Linked DNA regions of Tribolium castaneum. The protein of the gene in region 1 interacts with the protein of each later gene in a pairwise test. Links are inferred from orthologs where the notes say so. Each region holds a gene or a part of one and is shown on either strand. Other genes may lie near its edges.

Evidence for each region.
Region 2: the proteins of eEF2 (region 1) and okr interact in a two-hybrid assay, tested with the Caenorhabditis elegans proteins (2 studies listed by BioGRID). The link is inferred for Tribolium castaneum from reciprocal best matches to the Caenorhabditis elegans genes eef-2 and rad-54.L.

What each region holds. Positions count from the first base shown.
Region 1 is NC_087396.1:14,887,722-14,903,635, reverse strand, and holds eEF2 (translation elongation factor 2), read left to right. Parts: upstream 1-5,231; 5' UTR 5,232-5,384; coding exon 5,385-5,387; intron 5,388-5,721; coding exon 5,722-5,936; intron 5,937-5,983; coding exon 5,984-6,177; intron 6,178-6,429; coding exon 6,430-6,638; intron 6,639-6,904; coding exon 6,905-7,164; intron 7,165-7,334; coding exon 7,335-7,978; intron 7,979-8,174; coding exon 8,175-8,857; intron 8,858-8,910; coding exon 8,911-9,168; intron 9,169-9,171; exon of another isoform or gene 9,172-9,263; intron 9,264-9,371; coding exon 9,372-9,440; 3' UTR 9,441-9,761; downstream 9,762-15,914. Other genes in the region: uncharacterized protein LOC664550, read left to right, coding at 108-543, 2,421-2,560; lysosomal proton-coupled steroid conjugate and bile acid symporter SLC46A3, read left to right, coding at 2,982-4,188, 4,235-4,475, 4,529-4,610; protein PRRC1-A, read right to left, coding at 11,292-11,402, 11,450-11,780, 11,832-11,934, 11,982-12,187, 12,233-12,467, 12,518-12,599; structure-specific endonuclease subunit SLX4, read left to right, coding at 15,645-15,730, 15,789-15,914. UniProt on the Caenorhabditis elegans protein: Catalyzes the GTP-dependent ribosomal translocation step during translation elongation.
Region 2 is NC_087401.1:14,213,407-14,222,092, reverse strand, and holds the end of okr (DNA repair and recombination protein RAD54-like), read right to left. Parts: 5' UTR 8,418-8,686; coding exon 8,415-8,417; intron 8,360-8,414; coding exon 8,189-8,359; intron 6,334-8,188; coding exon 4,681-6,333; intron 2,662-4,680; coding exon 2,380-2,661; intron 2,325-2,379; coding exon 2,175-2,324; 3' UTR 2,120-2,174; downstream 1-2,119.

The DNA.
Region 1 (15,914 bases):
TAAATTATTTCCGTTTCTCACATGTTTCCTTCGCGTGTCTGTCTGCGGTTTAGCAATAAATGCATGTGAAAATCAATAATCGCACTACCGTGAACTTTGCTTTTCAGTCAAAATCCTCCGTCGACAAATCAATACCCCCAGCGCCCATGGGTCCCCCCAGCGAGGAGTGCTACATCTGCGGTAAAATGTTCGGGACGCACTCCATTAAAATCCACGAAAAGCAGTGTCTCAAAAAATGGCACGTGGAGAATGACTCACTACCGGCGGATATCCGGGCCCCGGAACCCAAAAAAGGGGAAGTTGGGAAAGTGCGCCAAAGTCCGGAGCCCAGCTCCCGGAGGAGCAGTGTGGAGAAAGAAGAGAAGCCCTCGTCCGGGAAGAAGTCGCCGATGTTTCCTTGCTATATCTGCGGCCGGCTCTTTACAGTCAACTCGATCTACATACACGAACCGCAGTGCTTGAAAATGTGGAAGATTGAAAACGACAAATTACCGCCACATAAAAGGAGGCCGCAACCACTCAAACCTGATATTAAGTTCACACGTAAGTTATGTTTTATTGACTAAAGCGTTACAAAGTTAACGGTTGCGGTACGGAAAGCAGTCTCGTTTTGAAATGGACGGGAAGTAGCCACAAGTACTCCCATAGGTCTTTGGCGAAGTCAACAGTACCCGACAATAACTGTCTTGTGAAAATGGCAATGTTTGAGAACGACGCGCTTCTCTCTGCTTCCTCCATAATAAGCCTCAATCTCTCTGATAACAAATCGATTCGGCTTAGAATTGTGTTAAGGGTATTGACCCACCATTCATTTGGTCTCGTAGCAGGTACTTGTAAAAAAGCGCCCTCCAAGTTTGAATCTTCAATTTCGGCAGAACCAAGACTGAGTATTTGGCATAAAATGCTTTGAAGCAAACGTTCGATTAAATCAATCTCTTTTTTGTCTTTACTTCTAGTTCTAATTAGTACGGTATCTAAGGGTTCTTCTTCATTTTTAAGAACTTCCTCACTGAGACAAGAATTGATCAGTTCAGATTCTGAAGTAATCATTTTGTCGGTTGCTCTCGGTACCATATTTCGGAGGTCAGGAAGACTACTACACGCACTCAAACCATTTTGATCCAATGAAAGCGCCATTTTTTTAAAGTTTGGAACACGATAATTTTGAAGTTTACATTTTTTGTCAGAATATTATTGACAAGTGTCAAAGTTTTATAAATCAGTTGATGCTCTCTTGCGATAATTCTCTACCAGTGGCGGTACCGACCCAAGTTGCAATTAACTGTCTCAAATCCGAGACGCTTTGTCTTATGTCTGGTAAAGTTCTGCTTCTGGTCAAAATATAAACTCTGAAGTCTTCCAAAGTATCAGCTGCGGTGTTCCTGAAAGAAACAGCTCTATCACGGATTATTGGAGCGATTTCTTGTGCGTTTCGTTGCGCGTTAGCTGTAAGGTTCCGAGCACCTAAAGCTGCGTGCTGGATATTTTCATATACAATCTCGGACATATTTCGAACGTCGGGTAGACTCCTGGCTCGTTCTGTGATGCTTTCCATTGAAAGAAGTAACTTAAAATTTGCTAATAACTAACTCTTGAGTGACACAACTGTGACAAACTATTAGGTTGATTGTTACGTCTGGTGTTAAGTGGTGTTAACAATGACCTCCATAGATCTAGAGATCATGTTAAAAATAAAAAAATCTTGTTTTGTTTGGCTACAAGATAAAAAATTTACATCGATAACCTACATATCACATAAGAATTGTTTTAGCTTAAATCTATAAAACGACTGTTCTGGTGACGTCAAAAACCAATGTAATATTCACTGTCACACGCCTAGTTCATAAAACATGCATCACAATATTGAATGTCAATACCGTCAACACGAAATAAGTCGTCTGCAGTTTACAATTTTCTATTTTAAGACAGCTTTCTATGACGTGAATGGAGCTTAGAGTAATTTAAACAATTCCATTATGAAAATTTAATCTGCATCTAAAATCAAATAGTCCTTGGAGGCGGAATCGTACGTCGTTGATTGATTTCTGGGAGGGGTAGCCCAACTTTGCAAATCAGTTCGTTCACCCCACCTGTAGCTCGATCTTATCCACCACTTCCTTGTAGAAAAATATGGCTTTCGTATATGCACGTGTGTACGTCTTAGACAATAATGTGAAGGTAAAAAATAATCGATAGAGGTTGTTGGCCTCGACCGCGTCGCGGTCAGCAAACCACCCTCCCACCCCTAAATAATTCACAAGTTCATTTTAAACGTTAAAAATGATTGCACACGTTTTCTATTTGGAGAGGGGTTAGTGACCTTCATGTTAATCCATCCACAAATGTTTTGTGTCTGTGTATTTGTCCACGATTTTTTGATTTACAATAAACTGAAGTTTGGGTTTTATCGCTGTTTGCAGAAGATGGTAAAATAGATTACGAAGCGACGAACGAAGCCAAGTGGCAGAGTCACTTAAGTCAGTTGGTTCCTTGTCAATTCTGCTCCAGGACTTTCAACCCAGACAGGGTGGAAGTGCACGAGAGGAGCTGCAAGGGTTAATTCAAGTGTGATTGTATTTTTTCCAATAAATAATAACAAGTTTCCTGGCTTTTATTACTGAGTATTTGCCAAATCATTAAGATAACTCGCAGCCAAAATTGCTATTCATGTTCTGTTAATCCTTGAAAACCCCTGTTTGCGACTTTATTTAATTTCTTTTAATTAAACAAAGTACAAGAGATAAATTTAAGTGAAACACAATGCATCTTCAAGTGTCACACAGATCAGTAAACAGTTGATACTAAATCTAATTGAATACCCTCGATAAGAGTTCCTCTGGTTCATTCCTCGCCCGTCTCCTTGTTTTCACACCAGAACTTTCAAAAATGTAATACCCACCAAAGATCAGATAAATATTTGCCGCCGTGTTGTATTGTGACTGCGTTATCGGTAAGTGAACTCGCGACCAATACGAAGAAAAATGGCTTTGGAAAAATCCAAAAGCATCGAAGCCGGTCTTCAGACCATCCTAACCGAAGAGGACCCTCCGGATTCCAAGCCAAAAAACATCTCCTTGTGCAAGAAAATCAAACTCATCTTCACCAACATCACCGTCGAACCAGTCCTAATATGTTACGTCCTTCCAAGTGTGATGGCAAGCATCGCCACACAAAACCTCAGTCTCGAAAAGGCATGTCGTGTAAACTTGCAAATGGACGAAGACATTTGCGACGCTTTAAGCATCCGAAACCGATCTGGTTATAACGAAAGCGACGAAATCGTAACCCAAACACTGATCACTTCAATGAATACTTGGAAAAGCATGATCCAGAGCTTAGTCCCATCGCTCTTACTCCTGTTTTTGGGGTCGTGGAGCGACCGCCACCAACGACGCAAACCTTGCATCATCCTCCCGATTTTGGGTGAAATTTGCACATGTACTGGCTTTCTCCTGTCGACGTATTTCTTTTACCAATTGCCGATGGAATTCAATGCTTTCTTCGAAGCCGTTCCGCCTGCTTTAACCGGGGGCTGGTTCGCGATGTTCATGGCGGTGTTCAGTTATGTTAGCAGAATTTCTTCTGTGGAAACTAGGACTCTACGAATCGGTGCTGTTAATCTTTTCTCCAACGTCAGTGTGACTGTTGGGATAGCCCTCAGTGGTATTCTCTACAACGAGATCGGGTTCTACGGAGTGTTCTCTCTAGCCATAGCCATGTATACGACAGCGTTGATTTACGCCATCGTCTATGTCAAAGATATGCCGAAGAACGAGGAGGTGATTGTGGATAAAAACGTGAAGAAAGTGAACCCAGTTTTGGACTTCTTCAATTTGAAACATATCAAGGAAACCCTGAACGTGGCTTTTAAAGACGGCCCACGTAACCGGAAGCGCCGCATTTGCACCATCATGATCCTTGTTATGGTCATAATCGGACCCATGCATGGCGAAATGCAAGTCATGTATCTGTTTGTCCGACATAGGTTCAAATGGAACGAAATTGACTACAGCTTGTACTCAACCTTCCAATTTGTCATCCACGTCTGTGGAACTGTTTTCTCTTTAATGTTCTTCAGCAAATTCCTCAAAGTCGATGATGCCGTCCTTGGAATGATTTCAAGCACGAGTAAAATCGCCGCTTCCCTCGTATACGCTTTCGCACCCACAAGTACAATTTTTTATCTTGGTAAGTTCTCAAATGACCCTCTCCCACAACCAAACGATTATTGCAGGAGCGATAATCGAGGCTTTAAACGGTACTTCTTTCATCGCCATGAGATCAATTATATCAAAGTTAGTACCTCCGGAAGAATTGGGCAAAATTAACTCTTTGTTTGGAGTTTCTGAAGCTTTAATGCCCCTTGTTTATGGGCCCATGTATAATATAGTCTATGAAACCACAATTAAGGTCCTACCAGGCTCCTTCTTTCTACTTGGAGGGGCTTTAACTGCGCCTGCGATCGTAATATTCTAGTAAAGTTTCACGAAAATGGGGAAAGCTTAAGGTTGATACGAATTTGTTACAGTTGGTTATACCGAGAGCATCAGAAAGATCAACAAGAGGAGGCGAAGGAGAAGCCACAAAAAGCCAGTTTGTTACCTAAATGATAAGAATGTAAATAAATCTGTTTTGTTACAAAAACTGCTTTTTATATTTCACACTAATTGTTAAATAATAACATAGAGAAATTATGAAAACGCGTTGCCAAACGATTAAGGCCCGGTTTCCGGTACGATTAAACTTAAATTAGTTAATTAGTTAAATTTTATCTCTCTGTTAGTTGCTAAGGTACTGCGTATCTGATTGGCGTTGCTATGTTTTAACTGAGGTTTAAATTTAATCCCTCCGTTAAATATGTTTCCAAAAACAGGGCTTTCTGGTTTTTCAAGTTTTCAGTGCGTAAAGCAGAGAATGCTTAAAGTCTATTAAAAAATTGGAAACAATATTTCTTATGGCATATCTCCAAATGAAAGCTTTTTCTCTTCCAGCCACTGGTGATGTGGATTTCGCGGGCACCTTCCACAGGATATGGGACAACCACTTGGCTGAACTGGTCGAATGTGGAAAATGTGGCCGCAAATTTTTCCCTGATCGGATAGAAACTCACCGAAACGCCTGTGCCGGGCTCCGCATTCAAGTTAAAGGCAGAAAACGGGAAACATAACTGTATAAAGAAATAAAACCGTTTTTTTATCAACCCGCTTTTTACTTTTCACCAAGGCGACAAAAACTAGTGACTTTTTCCACGTTGGCAATACCGTGAAGATGCAGCTGCGTGGCAGTTCTTAGCCCACTTCACGTCAATCGTCCTTTCACGGGAGTGCGCCATTACTGGCGTATCGTATTTTTGTGTGTGTTAACAAAATCAAGAAACATCCAACATGGTAAGCCCTTTTTGTGGATTTTATTAACGTTAAACGATTGCCCCAGCCTCTCTCCACGCCGTGGATTATTTATTTCGGTGGCTTAGCGTTATTTTAGTGATTTTTAACGGATTTGTTCAGATTGCACAATAAGATGAAAGTACACTCTATCCGGTATTTATGTTTACTAATAAGTGTTTTTCGGCTTCGTTGCCCGCTTGTAATTAATAAAAACGAACCAAAGCTGGGATTATTTGATCATTTAACGGTGGAAATGTGGAGAAAAGGGGACGTCAAGTGTCAACACATGTTGGATCTTAACCGGACATCTGTTAATGTTATGTGGCCCCCTTAGGTGAACTTCACTGTTGACGAGATCCGTGCTGTGATGGACAAGAAGCGGAATATCCGTAACATGTCCGTCATTGCTCACGTGGACCACGGCAAATCAACTCTGACCGACTCCCTTGTGTCCAAAGCTGGTATCATTGCCGGGGCCAAGGCGGGAGAAACGAGGTTTACTGACACGAGAAAGGATGAACAAGATAGGTGCATCACCATCAAGTCTACGTAAGTGCCCCAACCCTCGTTGCCAGATGGCTGATTCCTTATTTTAGTGCCATCTCCATGTACTTCGAACTTGAAGACAGGGATCTCGTCTTTATTACCAACCCTGAACAGCGTGAGAAGGAAGAAAAAGGTTTCTTGATCAATCTGATTGACTCTCCCGGACACGTCGACTTCTCATCAGAAGTCACAGCCGCTCTTCGCGTCACTGATGGCGCCCTTGTCGTCGTTGATTGCGTTTCTGGTAAGTTTTTGTAAGAAGTGTCGCTTCCAGCACAACAAGAGCCACTTCATAGAGCATTGGCTGCTTGCAACCAACGCTCAACGACGATGTTGGCAGTGCAATGGAAGGAGATTAATTTCAACATGTGTTTAAACGCTGCCACAGGACCTCTATCTTTATGTCCGGTTGTGGCACGCTACGGCATGAGTTGTACATTTTATTTATGAGAAATTGGAAATTCTCGGTTTTTAATTGGGAAACGTGGCGTTTTAGGTGTATGTGTACAAACCGAAACCGTACTTAGGCAGGCTATTGCCGAACGTATCAAGCCTATTTTATTCATGAACAAGATGGACAGAGCTTTGTTGGAGCTGCAGTTGGACTCAGAGGAACTCTACCAAACTTTCCAGCGTATTGTTGAAAACGTGAACGTCATTATCGCCACTTACGCTGATGATAATGGCCCAATGGGTAACATTCATGTAAGTTTTTAGTAATTTAACGATTAGAAGTTAGTTGAAAAAAAAAATGAAATTATGCAATGGTTGTTTTTCTGAATTAAACGCATATCGCGAGTTAATTCGGGAGGTCTAATTAATTTTTAATTGACTAGAACCATGAAGAAACTCGCAGATAAGGTCCACTATTTGCCCTGCTTTAGATTAAAAATATTTAAAGCAGTTTCCTGATGTGGAACATTGAAATTAATTTTTTGTGTCATTTTTTTTATGAAATTTCTTTTTTATAGGTCGATCCTAGCAAAGGTTCCGTTGGTTTCGGTTCAGGTCTCCACGGATGGGCTTTTACCCTCAAACAGTTCGCTGAAATGTACTCTGAAAAATTCAAGATTGACGTTGTGAAACTAATGAACAGATTGTGGGGTGAGAACTTCTTCAACCCCAAAACCAAGAAGTGGGCCAAACAGAAGGAAGCCGACAACAAACGCTCCTTCTGTATGTACATCTTGGACCCCATCTACAAAATCTTTGACAGCATCATGAACTACAGGTGAATAATCTTATTAATTGATTTAATTTACTGGACATGAAGGATGATTGTTCTCACAGACCTGTTCTGATCTGGTTGACGACAAAAGAACGGCCAACTGACCTTAATTAATCTTTAAAAAGTTTTGTGTAATTTTGAATTGTGGCCAATGTTGTTTATTCATGTTACAGGAAAGAAGAATACGAAGCTCTGTTCCCCAAACTTGGTATCCAGTTGAAACACGAAGACAAGGACAAAGACGGCAAGCCTCTCCTCAAGGTTGTGATGCGCACCTGGTTGCCCGCTGGCGAGGCTCTCCTCCAGATGATTGCCATCCATCTCCCATCACCCGTAACTGCCCAGAAGTACAGAATGGAAATGTTGTATGAAGGTCCCCATGACGATGAAGCCGCCATCGGTATCAAGAATTGCGATCCCAATGCTCCTCTTATGATGTACGTCTCGAAAATGGTACCCACCTCTGATAAGGGACGTTTCTATGCTTTCGGTCGCGTCTTCTCCGGTAAAGTCGCCACAGGAATGAAGGCACGTATCATGGGACCCAACTACACTCCCGGCAAGAAGGAAGATTTATACGAGAAAGCCATTCAGCGTACTATTCTCATGATGGGACGTAACGTCGAGGCCATTGAAGACGTGCCATCAGGAAACATCTGCGGTTTGGTCGGTGTTGATCAATTCTTGGTCAAAACTGGCACCATCACGACCTTCAAGGATGCCCACAACTTGAGAGTTATGAAGTTCAGCGTATCGCCGGTCGTACGTGTCGCTGTCGAACCCAAAAATCCAGCTGATTTGCCCAAATTGGTCGAAGGTATGTTTTATTTTTTAATAGTTACAAATATCAAAGCAAGGTTCCTTCAATGATGATTGTTCTCACAGACCTGTTCTGATCACTTTGACGACAAAAGAACGGCCAACTGACTACTAACACACAACCAATTTGTTGGAGAGAATTTTGTTCATACGTAATGTCAAGAAGTTACAAAGTGTTGGTTTTTTTTTTTTAGGTCTCAAACGTCTTGCTAAATCCGACCCTATGGTCCAATGTATCATCGAGGAATCCGGCGAGCACATCATCGCTGGTGCTGGCGAACTCCACTTGGAAATCTGTCTTAAAGATCTTGAAGAAGACCACGCCTGCATTCCAATCAAGAAGTCCGACCCTGTCGTGTCATACCGTGAAACCGTCGTTGAAGAATCGAACCAAATGTGCTTATCCAAATCGCCAAACAAGCACAACCGTCTGTTCATGAAGGCCGTACCAATGCCTGAAGGTTTGGCTGAAGATATTGACGATGGAAAAGTCAACCCACGTGACGATTTCAAATCACGTGCCCGTTACTTGGGCGAAAAGTATGAATACGATGTGACGGAAGCTAGGAAGATCTGGTGCTTCGGTCCCGACGGCACCGGCCCCAACATCTTGGTCGATTGTACGAAGGGAGTGCAATATTTGAATGAAATCAAGGATTCGGTAGTCGCTGGGTTCCAATGGGCTACGAAAGAAGGTGTTTTGTCTGAAGAAAACTTGAGAGGCGTCAGGTTTAACATCTATGATGTTACTCTCCATGCTGATGCTATCCATCGTGGAGGTGGTCAAATTATCCCAACCACTCGTCGTTGCTTGTATGCTTGTCTTTTGACAGCTGGGCCAAGGCTTATGGAGCCAGTGTACCAGTGTGAGATTCAGGTACAAAGATTAAGCACTTTAAATTAGTAACAATAATAATGATTTTTTTATAGTGTCCTGAAGTCGCCGTCGGTGGTATCTACGGTGTGTTGAACAGAAGACGTGGCCACGTCTTTGAGGAACAACAAGTAGCTGGTACTCCTATGTTCGTGGTGAAAGCCTACTTGCCTGTAAACGAGTCGTTCGGTTTTACCGCCGATCTCCGCTCCAACACCGGTGGACAAGCTTTCCCACAATGCGTGTTCGACCATTGGCAAATTCTCCCCGGAGATCCGCTTGAAACCAGCTCGAGACCATACACTGTTGTACAGGTGAGTGTAGGCGATTTTGACCCATCTTCAGACAACTCTGGATTGTTTTAAATGTCCACGAGTTTGCTTTTGATGGGAGATCAATAGTCTTTTAGTTTCGGTCTTGAAGTAAAATTCCTGGCCTGAATAGGGGGGCTGACATTCTAATGGTCAATCCCAAACGTTGCGCTTGGCATGGTTGTAATTATTTTTTGTTTTTGCAGGAAACACGTAAGAGGAAAGGTCTCAAAGAAGGTCTACCCGATCTTTCACAATACTTGGACAAACTATAAAGAGGTGGTTTTAGTTATGTACAGATTATTTAAGATTCATCTTAAATTATACAATAAAGCAATTGATAATTATAATTTTTTTTATATACTGGCAGGGTGAAAATACATGGATCAGTTGTAACTTTGTTTTTTGCTTCCCAACGCATTGGTTGTATTTTAATCCACATTATTTATGACAACTTATTTTCAAGTAAATTGTGTCCAAGAATAAGACAAGGGTTTTTATTGTTACCAGTGCATTTTTATTTAAGCTAGTTGAACTGATTAATTATAAGCAATTTGTTTTAACATACGGAGTTGAGAATAAAGGAGGAGTTTTTATTTGTAGAATTTCATTTTCAGTAGGTTAGGTGGGGTAAGAGTCCAAATATTTGTAATAAAGTTTGTTGCAGTAACGTTAGGTCAGTTTGCGATGGGGCTTCTCCGACACGTTTTAGGTGAGTTTCTTTTTAATATTTGACTTAAATTATCAATATTTAGATGATGATTTTTTTACGCCATAATACCGTGATGGATGTAAAATTTTAAGCTCAACAGGTCTGAAGTTATTTTCATAAAACAAGAAAATTGTCGAAATTTATTTTGTGTTTAAACCATTTTTGTTTTGTTGCAGTTCACAACCTGGGGCTCATTTGGCAGTGCTATTATTTGCTAGCTATTAAGGTAAGATTTTTAATTTTTAAGTAAATAGTAATTGTTACACACACCCCACACATTTAAGCCGGCCGTTTCATGTCTTAAAATGAAGAGGTGTGCTCGTTGTGGGAACATTAATTCTTTTCATGTGTATGGTTATTCAGCAATTCGTCTGTCTAACCAAAGGAAGATTAGATACATTTCATTCAAAAAAAAGCTTTTCTTTATTTGTGTCTACTTTTACAGGTAATTTGAAACAAGGCGCCCTACTTGGAATTCATTAGATGGTGGTGAGTTTCACAATTTAATCATTGTTTTAATTTTTTTTTAAACGTAACGTGATGATTTACTTACCGCCCCAGTCTGAAATCGGTGACTGATTGGTTTTTCTGATTTGTTAAATAGTACAAACATTAATATGTATTTATTTTTGTTCTTTAGTTGTATTAAAAGCAACACACATTCAGTAGTTTTAAAATTTTTTAAATTTTTTTCACTATTTAGGTTTATTTTTTGCAGATAAGTAACGGTGAGGGTGCCTTGGCTTGGATTTTTATAAGCTGGTGAGTAAAATTGCATTATTTGCTTATTTTTTTTTAATTATTGTGTGATGATTAATTTACCGCCCCAGTCTGAAATCGGTGACTGATTGGTTTTTCTGATTTGTTAAATAGTACAAACATTAATATATATTTATTTTTGTTCTTTAGTTGTATTAAAAGCAACACACATTCAGTAGTTAAAATTTTTTAAATTTTTTTCACTATTTCGGTTTATTTTTTGCAGATAAGTAACGGTGAGGGTGCCTTGGCTTGGATTTTTATAAGCTGGTGAGTAAAATTGCATTATTTGCTTACTTCTTTTTTAATTATTGTGTGATGATTAATTTACCGCCCCAGTCTGAAACCGGTGACTGATTGGTTTGTCTGATTATTCATTTATTTATTTTTTTTAATTTTTTGTTAACTGTTTCAAAAGCAACTTTTTCTTTGTTGCAGGTTCTTGAGGTAAATATTCTTCATATATTTCTGTAATTAAAAAAATTTGAATAAAAACGTAAAACAAGGAATGCTTTTTACTGTTAACGAATCCCAAACAATACTACAATTATTTATTAAAGCCTATATTGATAAAATGAATTTTGAACATTAAATAAAATCTAGAATAAAATGCAACAGTTATATCATTAATTTTATATTCCAGTAAGTACGATATTTAATTAGTGATTTTGTTTTTATACAAAGTAACAAGTGTCCTCGCTGCTAGAAATAGGGTTTCTTTTCTAGCAACCCCACTCACCCCCTGTTGCCAATTATTTTTACAAACCTAAAACAGATTTTCTAACGAATTACAAACAAAACAACTCAACTCACTTGTAAATACGCCGCTAGTAGTTTTTCGGTTGAATCGCACCCTTTCGCATAGCTGGGCATTTCTTTTTCGGCCAACTTCACAAAAGAATCAAGCGGAATTGGTGTCGTTTGAGTATATGTTTTAAGCAAAATCTTTTTCTCCACATCTTTCAAAACTAAGACGCTTAAGTCAAACCATTCATCGTTTTGTTGTAAAAGAATATTCTCAATAGCAATTGTTGGAACTTGACTCGAGTTTAACGCCGCTTTTAGCTTTTCTTCCGCCCTCTTAATCCCTTCTTCAAAACCTACAGCTTGGTGTTTCCTTTCATCAACTTTAACGCTAATCCCACTTGAAAAATTTAATCAATTACACGAGAAACATACTTTGTGAAGAAATTACTTCACCCAAGCTTTACCAAATACTGAAAAAATTGCCTCACGAATGGGGGCGACTTCGTCCGGGTCTTGCGATACAACAGCAAGCTCCACGTCCCCTCCAGAATCTAATAAATCAACACAATAAATGAGTGAAAAACGCGGAGATTCTTACAAATGAACTCCGACATTTGTGGGTCTAGGGTTGTGATGAGTGAATCTACGGAGTTTTTCGCCTTTTCCGCAACCTTTGATAATATGCCACCGCTGGAGACTGCATCTTTCATCCAGCCTATCAGTCCCCCGCCCCCCTGTCCTGCGTCTGCACTAGTTTGGGGAACTGGTCCATGTTGAACACCTTTACTCGGCGGTATGGCAGCACTGCAAGTTAGTTGCAGATAATTTGAAACCTTGAGTCAAATTTACCTAAACTGGGTTTGGGGGAACGGTTGGACGTTAACCGGTGCGGGGGCCGCTTGTGTAGCCGCAGGCGCGATGTTTGGAGGTAAAGGGGTAGGTGCTGGGATTGCTTGAGACTGCCACAGTGTGAAATCAGGGAGATTTGTCGGAGGTGGTAAATTCGAGAGCAAATTTCCACCCGGCAGAGCGACACCCCCTGGGGAAGGTATCGAGTACGGAGATGACACGCTACTCAGAGATTCTGGAATCATTTAATAAAATTGGGGCGATTTTAGGTTACAAACGTGTCACCTGTCTTGTCATTCGAGGCATCGTCCTGCTTCTTGTCGATTATTTCAAATGAGGCTTCGCCGTTTGAGTCCTCTTGTAACATTTTATTTACTTTTTACTGATTGATTATTGTAAACATATGATCACATCGTAGAATAACAGAGAATTTGGTTTGTGTACGTAAACGTAATCGTGGCACAACTAGGGATTTTTCCGCTACGTGTGAAGTTAGCTACGTGAACGTTTTATTTGTTTTACGCGAGATTTGTTTACGAAAATAAAAGTAAAGTTTGCTTTACAAAACCCTCGCCTGAGGTTCCATCCTTAGTCATCATTAAGTAAATATTTCCAAGCACTTTAAAGCGAAAAATCGTCGTTAGCACCTGGTGAATAATTAGGTTGGCATTCCCTATTGCCATTAATTTTTTTGATTGACGTTTGTCAATTTAACAGACCGGCCGCGTCAAATAATTAATTTTATCGCCTTTTGAAATAAAATGGCAGACCCTGTGGAGCCGCCCCCTTTATTTGAAAACGTGGACATCCTTTCCGACCGAAAAGAAGACGAAGATCTCTTCGTGTCAGCCAGACAGGTACACGGCTTGTAATTTGATATATCGCTTGATAACCCCCCACTTGCCACAGGAGCAGGCCGAACCGTACAAAGATGAGCCCCAGGAAGGCCTCAACGGCGACGCCGACCTCACCAACCTCTCCCTGGACGACCAGAAACCCGAACTGGAGACTGTCCCAATCAACAATAGTGGAACATTGCCAGACACCATGGAACAAGTATTTTTTCACACAACTGATAAATTTTTATTCGCATTGTGAAAACTACAGGTCGAGGCTGCAGGCGGCGATCAATTTTTGGAAATATCCATCACGGAGCCCCAAAAAGTGGGTGACGGCATGAGCGCTTATATGGCTTACCGGGTCACAACAAAAACCAACATGCCGATATTTAAAAAACGCGAATTTTCGGTGACGAGGCGTTTCAGCGACTTTCTGGGCCTCCACGACAAATTATCAGAGAAGTACCTCAAGGTCGGGAGGATCATACCGCCAGCGCCTGAAAAGAGTGTCATTGGCATGACCAAAATCAAGATCTCCAGTCAAGCGGAGGGCAGTCCTTCGAACGGAAACGACTTTGTCGAACGCAGGCGCGCGTCCTTGGAGCGTTACCTAAAACGCACTGCCCAACACCCTGTCCTGGTACTGGACCCCGACTTTAGGGAGTTTCTGGAGTCAGGTTGGTAGAGCTGGCTGTTTTTCCCCCTCACATTCCCATTTCGTTAGATATTGAGCTGCCGAAGGCCACAAGCACGTCTGCCTTGAGTAGCGCCGGTGTTATGAGGCTCTTCAATAAGGTTGGCGAGACTGTGAACAAAATCACCTACAAGATGGATGAGACTGATCCAGTAAGCCAATCACGAGTTGGTGGGAGTTAGTAACCAATCAAATTTCAGTGGTTTGAGGATAAGTTGGCTCACATTGAGGCTCTGGAGACTCAGCTGAGGAAATTGCATACCAATGTTGAGGCGATGGTGGCTTACAGAAAGGAACTGAGTCACTTGACTAACGGCGTTTCACGGTCTGCGGCGATGTTGAGCGCTTGTGAGGACCACAACTCGCTCTCAATGGCGCTGTCCAATTTGGCCGATACTGAGGAAAAAGTTGAAGCATTGCATTTGGAACAGGCCAACACGGATTTCTTCATTCTCTGTGAGTTACTGAAGGATTATTTAGGGCTTCTCGGGGCTGTTCGTGACGCCTTTCATGAAAGAACAAAGCTTTTCCAACATTGGCAACACTCGCAACAAATGTTGGCCAAGAAAAGGGAAGCCAAGGCTAAGATGGAGCTCACAAACAGGACAGACAAGGTCGACCAAGCTGGCGCTGAAGTGATAGAGGTGAGTGGCACCAGCACTATCTGTTGTAAACTTTACTAATGTCACTATAGTGGGAAGCCAAAGTCGAACGTGGCCAAGAGAATTTTGATAAGATCTCGAAAATGATCAAAACGGAAGTGGAGAGGTTTGAAAAGTGTCGCATTCACGACTTTAAAATTATGTTTATAAAGTATTTTGAAAACCACCTCAATCACCAAGCCCAGGTTTGACTGTAGTAAGGGTAAAAAACTCTAGACTGATGTGGTGTTTCAGCTCGTTAAGTACTGGGAAGCCTTCTTGCCGCAAGCCAAAGCGATTGCTTGACTAGAGGATATCTGCAAAGAATAGCAGAACAGACATTCCTATTGGAGATTTCCAGAAGTTTAATGTGTAATATACAATTTTTGAACTTATTTAGCACGAGGAGTCTCCAAGTTCGTCCCTTTTTTATTTCTGTCATTTACACATAATCAAATATTTGTAGTTTATAACCCTATTGTTGAATCTATTTATGTTACTTTGTAGCCCTTGTGTATTTACAGCGCTACGTTAAAATATAGCTCCTTTGTTATGTAAAAATCGCCTAAAGAATTATATTTGTTATGTGCTTTGTGTGAAACATGAATATTATACCCTACATTGTGATAAGAATATGCTCAGTTTTTGAAGCTTGATTCTTGTTCAAGTCTAGTGCAAGTTAAGGTAATTTAGGTCCCTATTGGCATTGTGTACAAGTGATGCATGAATTATCGAATATTGTACTGCTTCCATTATGTAAGAAAAATTTAAATAAAATTGTACATTGGACCGGATCTCCTTATTACACTAGCGCCACCGTGGGTGTGTGGCAATCAAAGCAAAACTTCCAGGTTTGAGGTTATGAGTTGACCCACATTTATACTTTTTTTCTTTGCTATGGCAAACCGAAACATTGACGAATCACTCAGGAAGCCTCGTAGAACCAAAGGGACCCCTTTTTACGTACAGAGGAATTACTACGCGGGTGGAGTTATAGCAGTTGGGGGCCTGTTCTGGCTACTTTTCGAGTAAGATGTCAGTTTGAAGTAAAATCATTTTTCCGGTCATAATTCGTAGACTGTGGCCCGAAGCCCAAAAGCTCAAAAAAAGTTACCTTGAGGGCAAGTTTGACGATAGCCCTGAAACCCGGCGACGCTTTATGGCCACTAGCCTCGTAACCAAAGGGGGCTATTTGGAACTGTTTAGTGCCTTGAAGGCCAGAGAAGACGCAAAAGAAGATGAGCTCTACACGGACAAAACGAAGCCGCAGCCGTGGTACACAAAATTCCACACAAAGCCAGACATCTAAACCTGTAAAGCGTAGGTTAGTGTAGTGTACATACTGTAATAAAGTTGTTTAATCATTTTTGTCGTTTCATTAGCGCCACTAAAACGGGGAAGATTTCGAAATATTTCGCCAAAATCACTAAAGACAATGCCGAGGGCTCTGAGAGTTCAGGTAGTTTCTCAGATTCTCCTTACAAAAACTGTTTAAGTGAAGTGAAACT
Region 2 (8,686 bases), on another chromosome or scaffold:
AAAAATAATGTAATTTTTGACATAATTCTGTGATTTGTTAGCTCATTTTTTAAGAAATTTTACGCAATAATTGAGTTTTTGCTGAATAAACGCTTAGAAAAGGTAAATTTTTGGTCAATTTCGACCAAACTTGGTAATTTTTCCGTTCTAGTTTAATAAAAACAGTGAAAAAACCTGATTTTTGGTCCAAAAACTTGTTTAAATCCTCAGAACTCGCAAAAATAATGTCATTTTTGACATAATTCTGTGATATATTGGCATTTTTTTAAAGAAATTTTGCACAATAATTGAGTTTTTGCGAAATAACTGCTTAAAAAAGGTAATTTTTTGGTAATTTTTCACCAAATTTTGTGATTTTCTCGTTCTAGTTTAAGAAAAACAGACAGAAAAACTTGATTTTTGGTCTAAAAACGTGTTAAAATACTCAGAACTTGCAAAAATAATGTAATTTTTGACATAATTCTGTGATTTGTTAGCTCATTTTTTAAGAAATTTTGCGCAATAATTAAGTTTTTGCGAAATAACTGCTTAAAAAAGGTAATTTTTTGGTAATTTTTCACCAAATTTTGTGATTTTCTTGTTCTAGTTTAAGAAAAACAGACAGAAAAACTTGATTTTTGGTCTAAAAACGTGTTTAAATCCTCAGAACTTGCAAAAATAATGTAATTTTTGACATAATTCTGTGATTTGTTAGCTCATTTTTTAAGAAATTTTACGCAATAATTGAGTTTTTGCTGAATAAACGCTTAGAAAAGGTAAATTTTTGGTCAATTTCGACCAAACTTGGTAATTTTTCCGTTCTAGTTTAATAAAAACAGTGAAAAAACCTGATTTTTGGTCCAAAAACTTGTTTAAATCCTCAGAACTCGCAAAAATAATGTCATTTTTGACATAATTCTGTGATATATTGGCATTTTTTTAAAGAAATTTTGCACAATAATTGAGTTTTTGCGAAATAACTGCTTAAAAAAGGTAATTTTTTGGTAATTTTTTACCAAATTTTGTGATTTTCTCGTTCTAGTTTAAGAAAAACAGACAGAAAAACTTGATTTTTGGTCTAAAAACGTGTTAAAATACTCAGAACTTGCAAAAATAATGTAATTTTTGACATAATTCTGTGATTTGTTAGCTCATTTTTTAAGAAATTTTGCGCAATAATTAAGTTTTTGCGAAATAACTGCTTAAAAAAGGTAATTTTTTGGTAATTTTTCACCAAATTTTGTGATTTTCTTGTTCTAGTTTAAGAAAAACAGACAGAAAAACTTGATTTTTGGTCTAAAAACGTGTTTAAATCCTCAGAACTTGCAAAAATAATGTAATTTTTGACATAATTCTGTGATTTGTTAGCTCATTTTTTAAGAAATTTTACGCAATAATTGAGTTTTTGCTGAATAAACGCTTAGAAAAGGTAAATTTTTGGTCAATTTCGACCAAACTTGGTAATTTTTCCGTTCTAGTTTAATAAAAACAGTGAAAAAACCTGATTTTGGTCCAAAAACTTGTTTAAATCCTCAGAACTCGCAAAAATAATGTCATTTTTGACATAATTCTGTGATATATTGGCATTTTTTTAAAGAAATTTTGCGCAATAATTGAGTTTTTGCGAAATAACTGCTTAAAAAAGGTAATTTTTTGGTAATTTTTAACCAAATTTTGTGATTTTCTCGTTCTAGTTTAAGAAAAACAGACAGAAAAACTTGATTTTTGGTCTAAAAACGTGTTAAAATCCTCAGAACTTGCAAAAATAATGTAATTTTTGACATAATTCTGTGATTTGTTAGCTCATTTTTTAAGAAATTTTACGCAATAATTGAGTTTTTACTGAATAAACACTTAGAAAAGGTAAATTTTTGGTCAATTTCGACCAAATTTGGTAATTTTTCCGTTCTAGTTTAATAAAAACAGTGAAAAAACTTGATTTTTGGTCTAAAAACTTATTTAAATCCTCAGAATTTGCAAGAATAATGACATTTTTTGACATAATTCTGTAGTTTATTGGCATTTTTTTAAAGAAATTATATATATATATATATATATATATATATATATATATATATATATATATATATATATATATATATATATATATATATTCAGGGAGGGGATTAATAAACACCAAAATGCAAAAAAAATTTAATCCGTATTTAATATTTAACAACAGATAGAAAATACAACTATTCCGAATAATCCAAATCATCCTTATCATCGTAATCAGGATCTTCCTCCACTTCTTCTTCCTTAACTCGTTTAACTTCCTGTTTGGCTGATTTTTGATGGAACACAAAGGAAATGTATTTGGACAAATCCCATATTTGTTTAAGAACCTACAAAAACCCAACCATTCCAACACGTTCAAGGGCACTTTGATTAAAAATTTACCATATCTGCCAGCCCTTTTTTGTCCCAACAATGGTACCAATCTTGCAAATCCGACGTACAATCAGCCTCATCGGACGGATTTTTCGTTTGTATTTTACCTAAACACCGTTTACATTTGAGTTTTTCGTGTGTGTCCGAGTCCGTTTGTTCCAATTTAAACAAATCACGCAATTCGGCGACGCTAAAGTGTCGCGCCGTTTCCTCATTATTGTCAACGACAGTCGAACTCAGGGCTTTTTTATGAGCTTGTCTCTGGAAAATTTTTTCCTCAATTGTCCCCGCCTGCAAGGAACAGGAACACTCTTTGTAAAAAACAAACCTAATTTCTTTTTAGTAATTTGTGTATTTTAGGTAAAAATGCAAAAATAATTCTAAAAATTAACTACAAGTCTCAAAAGATAAAGTAAACAATTGTCCGAAGTAAGCCGTTTTCATTCAAACTGTAACATTAATTGTATTTTTTTTTCAGTTTGATTTATAAAAGATTTCACGTTTCGAAGCAAATAATCGTCGGAAACAAGCTGATTTTATCTAAATCGTCACGTAAATTATCTAAAATAGTAATCATTATAATAATAACAATAAAAATAAAAACACATTTCGGGTAAAGTTAGTAGTTTTTGGACAACTTTCATAAAATTTGTTCATTTCTAAGCAAAACTTTGTCAGAATTTAATTATTTCCTTTTAAGCCAATGCTTAGGTCGTTTTTCTGAGCACGAATAAAGTTTTTTTTGTATGTTCGGTAAGTGTTTTTTTGTTTTGAAGCAAAGGATCCTTGTTTCCGCCTAGAAAACGCCATTTTCTTGTTTTAAGGCAAGAAGATGTTCAAAATTAACTACTTTCTTAAAATCTGGTACATAATAATTTTGATTTCACTTTGGGAATTAGATCTTTAGATCCTTTATATCTTCAAGATCTTTCTCCTGGCGTTTTCAAAATTCAAAAAAAAAAATTAGATTTAGGTGACAGTTGTTTTTATAGTTTTAAAAAAAGATATTAGGTCTGAAAATAGTACAGTACAAGGTGTTTCCCGTAATTTTACGTGATAAAATGTAACGAATAATATATATACTGATACGAATATGATTATAAATTTTGAAAAAATTGGATAATCATCTCTAGTTTGTTCACCCCTTAAAAAATTGCAACGCTTTCAGTTAATTAGTGATTAAGTTAGACATATTAGAATTATATTCATTCTCTCGCTTGATAAAACACATGAAAATTCGTTTGACATCTACTGTCATGGGTAACCAAAAATTAAATAACAAAAAGTACATTTTTTTTAGCTAATGTTTTGTGATTTTTGTATATTTGGGTGCAGGACTCGTAAAACACCCTGTAAATTAAAAACAAATGATACAAATTCATTATTTGTGTTCATTGAGATTGTATATTATCCGTTCACGATTGTTTTAAATTCTCAGCAGGCGTAGATATATTTTTGTTAGGTTGGCCTCAGGTCCTGTCAGGTACTGTCTTTATGACGTTTCTTGTCAAAAATTCGCTGTTGTCAGTTCTACTGCTTATTAATTTAAAATGTCGAAAATAATTTCTGTTGATAAGAAAGCGTGTATCAAAAGATGCTTTGAAGGATGCAAGAAAGACAGACCCGACTTTTTTAACTAATGATAATGAATAGTATAATATAGTATGAATGAATACTATAATATACTATATATATATATATATATATATATATATATATATATTATTTATTTAAAAAACGAAGCAAACTGACAACAGTCCTTGGTTGTCATCAATTATAACCCAAAATTTCATATGACAACTCACAGTACTGCTAAATAAAATGTCAGATTTTCATAGATAGTCCGAATTTAAAACAATCGTGAACGGTGTATAGTTATTATAATACAAGTGAAAAAATACAAGCTTAAAGGTCGAAGGCTGTCGTTATGCAACGAGCGTATGCGAGACACCATAGACACCAAAACATAGCTAAACACCAAAAAATTTTTTTATTGGAACATTTTAATTTAAAATACATAGGAACAGACATAAATTGTATTTTTAGAAAGTGTTCCACTTAACTTCTTAAAAGTTTAAACATTTTTTTAAGAAATAAAAATCCTAATTTTTCTAGGTTTCTCAGTCTCTGTGTGTATAATAATAAGTATAAGTGGAAATTGAATTCTTTAAAACACGCGCGATTTTTCGAGCACGACGGCGTAGCCGGAGTGCTCGAAATAGACCAAGTGTAATTTTCTAACATTTTAAAGTCAACAGTGCTGTACAAAACATTTGTAGATAAAACACTACCACATAAAATTCTCCTTACCGCTAAGAACCTGTAGATATAGCACGGCTTCTGCTGCCCATCCCTCCACACCCTTGCCATAGCCTGATCATCATTCGCCGGATTCCAATCCGGATCAAACATAATCAACCGATTAGCACCAATCAAATTCAAGCCACACCCTCCCGCCTTTGAACTCAACATAAAAATAAACTCCCCCGACTCCGGATCATTAAAATTCGCCACAACTTTAGCCCTCTTCTTAATACTCATAGTTCCGTCAAGACGCACATACCGGTACCCCCTCTTCCGGCACAACTTCTCAAACAGATCCAAAGTCTGCGTATAGTTCGACACCAACACGACTTTATCATTGTAGTTGTTCTTCAAATTGGCTAGGAAACAATCAAGCAACATCAATTTTCCAGACAATTGCGGCATCACATCTTTATCATTATAATTGGGCGGGAGCAAGTGGCGCGATTTTTCGAAACCTTCCCCACCTTCAAGAATCTTATCCATGATCAAATCAGGGTGGTTGCACAACTTTTTCAGCGTTGTGATGCTGGCTAAGGCACTCAGAGAGGCTTTAACTTCAACGTCGTTCAACACGCCCTTGCGCAAACCCTCCGAGTTGATGTAATTCAAGTAGATTTGTTTTTGCAACGGGGTCAGTTGACAAATTACAATCATTTCGAACTTCACCGGGAGATATTTAGTAAGAAGGTTGGAAGTTCGCCTAATTAGGCAACGATTCACCAAATCTGATAATTCCTTAAGCCGTTCAACCGCCTTCTGTCGTTCTGAGTCCGTGGCAGTGGAGTCCTGCCCTCTCAGAATGGGGTTCTCAAACTTTTTCTTAAACTCCTGAGCACTTCCCAACAGCCCTTCATTGACAAAATGCACCAAACTGAAGTACTCTAACAAATCGTTCTGAATCGGCGTCCCGCTCAACAGAACCCTCCGCCTGGCCTTGAGCCCCATCAAGGCTTTATACGTCTGATTCTCGCAGTTTTTCAACCTGTGTCCTTCGTCACACAACACCAATCCAATCTCACTTTTGTGCAAAATCTCGGCATGCATCCGAAACGTCTCGTAGGAAATAATCAACACTGGGATTGCCGTCCGGCCGAAGCCTTGCATAAACTGGGTCAGTTTTTTCCTGGCATCGGGGCCCCCATCCATGATGAGACAGCTCAGCCTGCCTTTGAGCCACTTGTCGATCTCGTTGCTCCAGTTCCGGACCAGGGAGCTGGGGCAGACTATGATCCCCTTGTCGATGGTCGGCTTGCATTCGGGGCCCTGCCGGACCAAGGTCCACAAGAGGGTGATACACTGTAGGGTTTTTCCAAGTCCCATTTCGTCGGCCATTATGCAGCCGAACGAGTTGGGGATTTGGACGCCGGTCACACAGTCGTACATGAATTTGACGCCTTCGCGCTGATGGGGGCGCAGGATGTTGCTCAAGGACGGGTCGACAACGACGTGCACGAGGACAGGGCCGTCGCCTTTCAGTTTTTCGTGCTCGCTTTGCTCGGGGGGCGAGTAGAGGATGAGGGCGTTGGGGGTGTTGGGGTCGTATAAGGGGCGAGGGGCGACGCTGCGACGGAGGCCCAGGGTGCGGGTCGAATTGCAGCCTTGGTAGTTGGGGTCGGGGCATTTAAAGGGGGCGGAAAGTTTTTTTATGAGTTCCTCCTGAAATTTTTTATATTTCAAAAGTCACAAAACTTATAATATAATTATAATATATAATAAATATAATAATATATATACATGTATATAATATAATATATAATTATAAATATAATTATATTGAGGAATGTATAAGTGGATATTGAGGTCTTTGAAGCACGCGCGATTTTTCGAGCACGACGGCGTAGCCGGAGTGCTCGAAATAGAGCAAGAGTTTTAAAGACCAGTTATCCACGAATACTTTACGTTATTTTTTATTTTATTGGTACACTTTGAAATCATTCCATTTTAATAATGAAAATAATGTAAAATTATAAGTATAAATTAATTTATTAAACATTGACTGACTTGTTTGCACAAAAGAAAGGAAAAAAAACAGGAAAAATAATGTGCTGTTTTCTTAATAAATTTTCTGTTGATGAACAGTTTTATAGATGTGAGTTTGACGTCACATCCGCGACGTCATGTGATGTTACGCGAGCGTCGCAGTAGGCGAGAGCGAGACAGTCGGCAACGAACAGTCGCACGGGTCACATCGGGAGGCGACTTGATTTATTTAGAGCGTTACAAAATTATTGGTGCCGTTTAATTTATTTAGTTTGTTACTTGCTGTTGTTGCGTAAAATCTAATTTTTTCGGTTTAAATTTTAAATTCGGTGATCGCGGTAAGTGTGTTAGTGCCAGTGGAATGGACTTAAGAAGGAAATAATTTGAATTAAAAGGTACGCCTGCAGTGATTTATTTTTAGAAAATTAAATCAAATGTGTATTATTTTCAACTAGTAATTTAAAGGCACATCGTTCTAATTTATTATCTTGCTACAAACTGTGGCAAAAGTGCATTTTAATTTTTTAAATGGGACTTTCAGTGAAACATAAATAAAATAAAACGCTCAAATAATTTATTGGCACATTGTACTGATTTTGTCTTTAATTTCAATCGACAAAAGTCGCTTACCGTAACTTTTTTAATGCAAATAAAGCTTTTTTATCGGTTTTGTTTTTTATTTATTTATTATTGCTACAAACAGTAGCCAGCGCAGAAGCCATATGAAGGTAAGTTCATTTTTTTTCTATTTATCCTGTGTGATGTTAAATTTAATAGTTTGAGTGCCATCTATTGTAACCTATTGTGTATTCTTTATTTTGTATAATGTTGATAAAAGCCGCTTATTGTAACTTTCATGCAAATAAAGATTTTTTCATGGTGTTGTTTTTAGTTTCTTTTTAATGTCTTGCTACAAACAGTAGCCAACGCAGAAGCCATATAAAGGTAGGTCCATTTTGTTCAAGTCCAAGTGAAAAAATATTTTTTTGTTGTATTTTTCATTTCACAAACCAATATTCCTTTATTCCCTTCATTTTCTTATAATAATTGTTTACCTCATCCTTAATTCCTTTTTTCCTGGCAAGAAGGCTCTAAACCTCCATGTAGTAGTTCTTGCTGGACCAATTACTTATTAATTTGACTAATTAGAGCAATTCTTAAATATAATAAGTATTGCTCATTGTTTTTAAAACACTTCTTGTATTACTGAAAGCATATGAAATGTAGATTTGTCGAAGATGTGACGTAAAGAACAATTTATTTGATATTTAAAAGCTAAAATCTGAATATCTAGGAAGCCATGTCCACTGTAACAGCGCCCTCTGTTAAGCAAACTTCGAATTCTGAAGTTGTGGTGTCTATTCTTACGTACGTTTTTAGACAAATACGTTTCTTATAATAACTTGTCCTGTTTATCAATGTTTCGATATTTGTCCGATTCTTTAATCTAACCACATTTCAATGAAGGGAATTAGAACAAAGTTAGTTTAAATTTATTCAGGGGCCGTACATGAAAAAATGGATGACTTACATGGTCACTTATGTAAACTTCGGTGTTGTTTAATTGTGATAAAGGTTTTCGTATTTTTGAAGGGTTTTCACTTGATTGATTCCGAGTTCGTTTAGTAGAAAGAATTCCTGGTGAGCTTGCTTGCTCGGAAGAGCCTTGACGTTTTAACTGACTGGGTGCAAAATTGCGCATCTAAAACCCCCATTAATTGATTAAAATTGAATGATAATGGTAAATATTTACTTACCATCTTTCTTTGTTGTTTAAATTCTTAGGTTATGATTATGAAAACACACTTCCCGCGAGAATGAGACGATCGTTCTACCAATCTGAGTTAAAAAAATTCGAAAGTCTCTAAATGATTTAGTTTTATTTTCGCTGTTAGTACATTATTCAAGATAATAACGGAAAAGTAATTTACAACACTAACTATTGATCCATTTTTCGTTGTTGTTTAATTTTTTGGCTAAGGACTAGAGTAAATAACATGCGAAATTTACCGAATATTCTCTACCAACC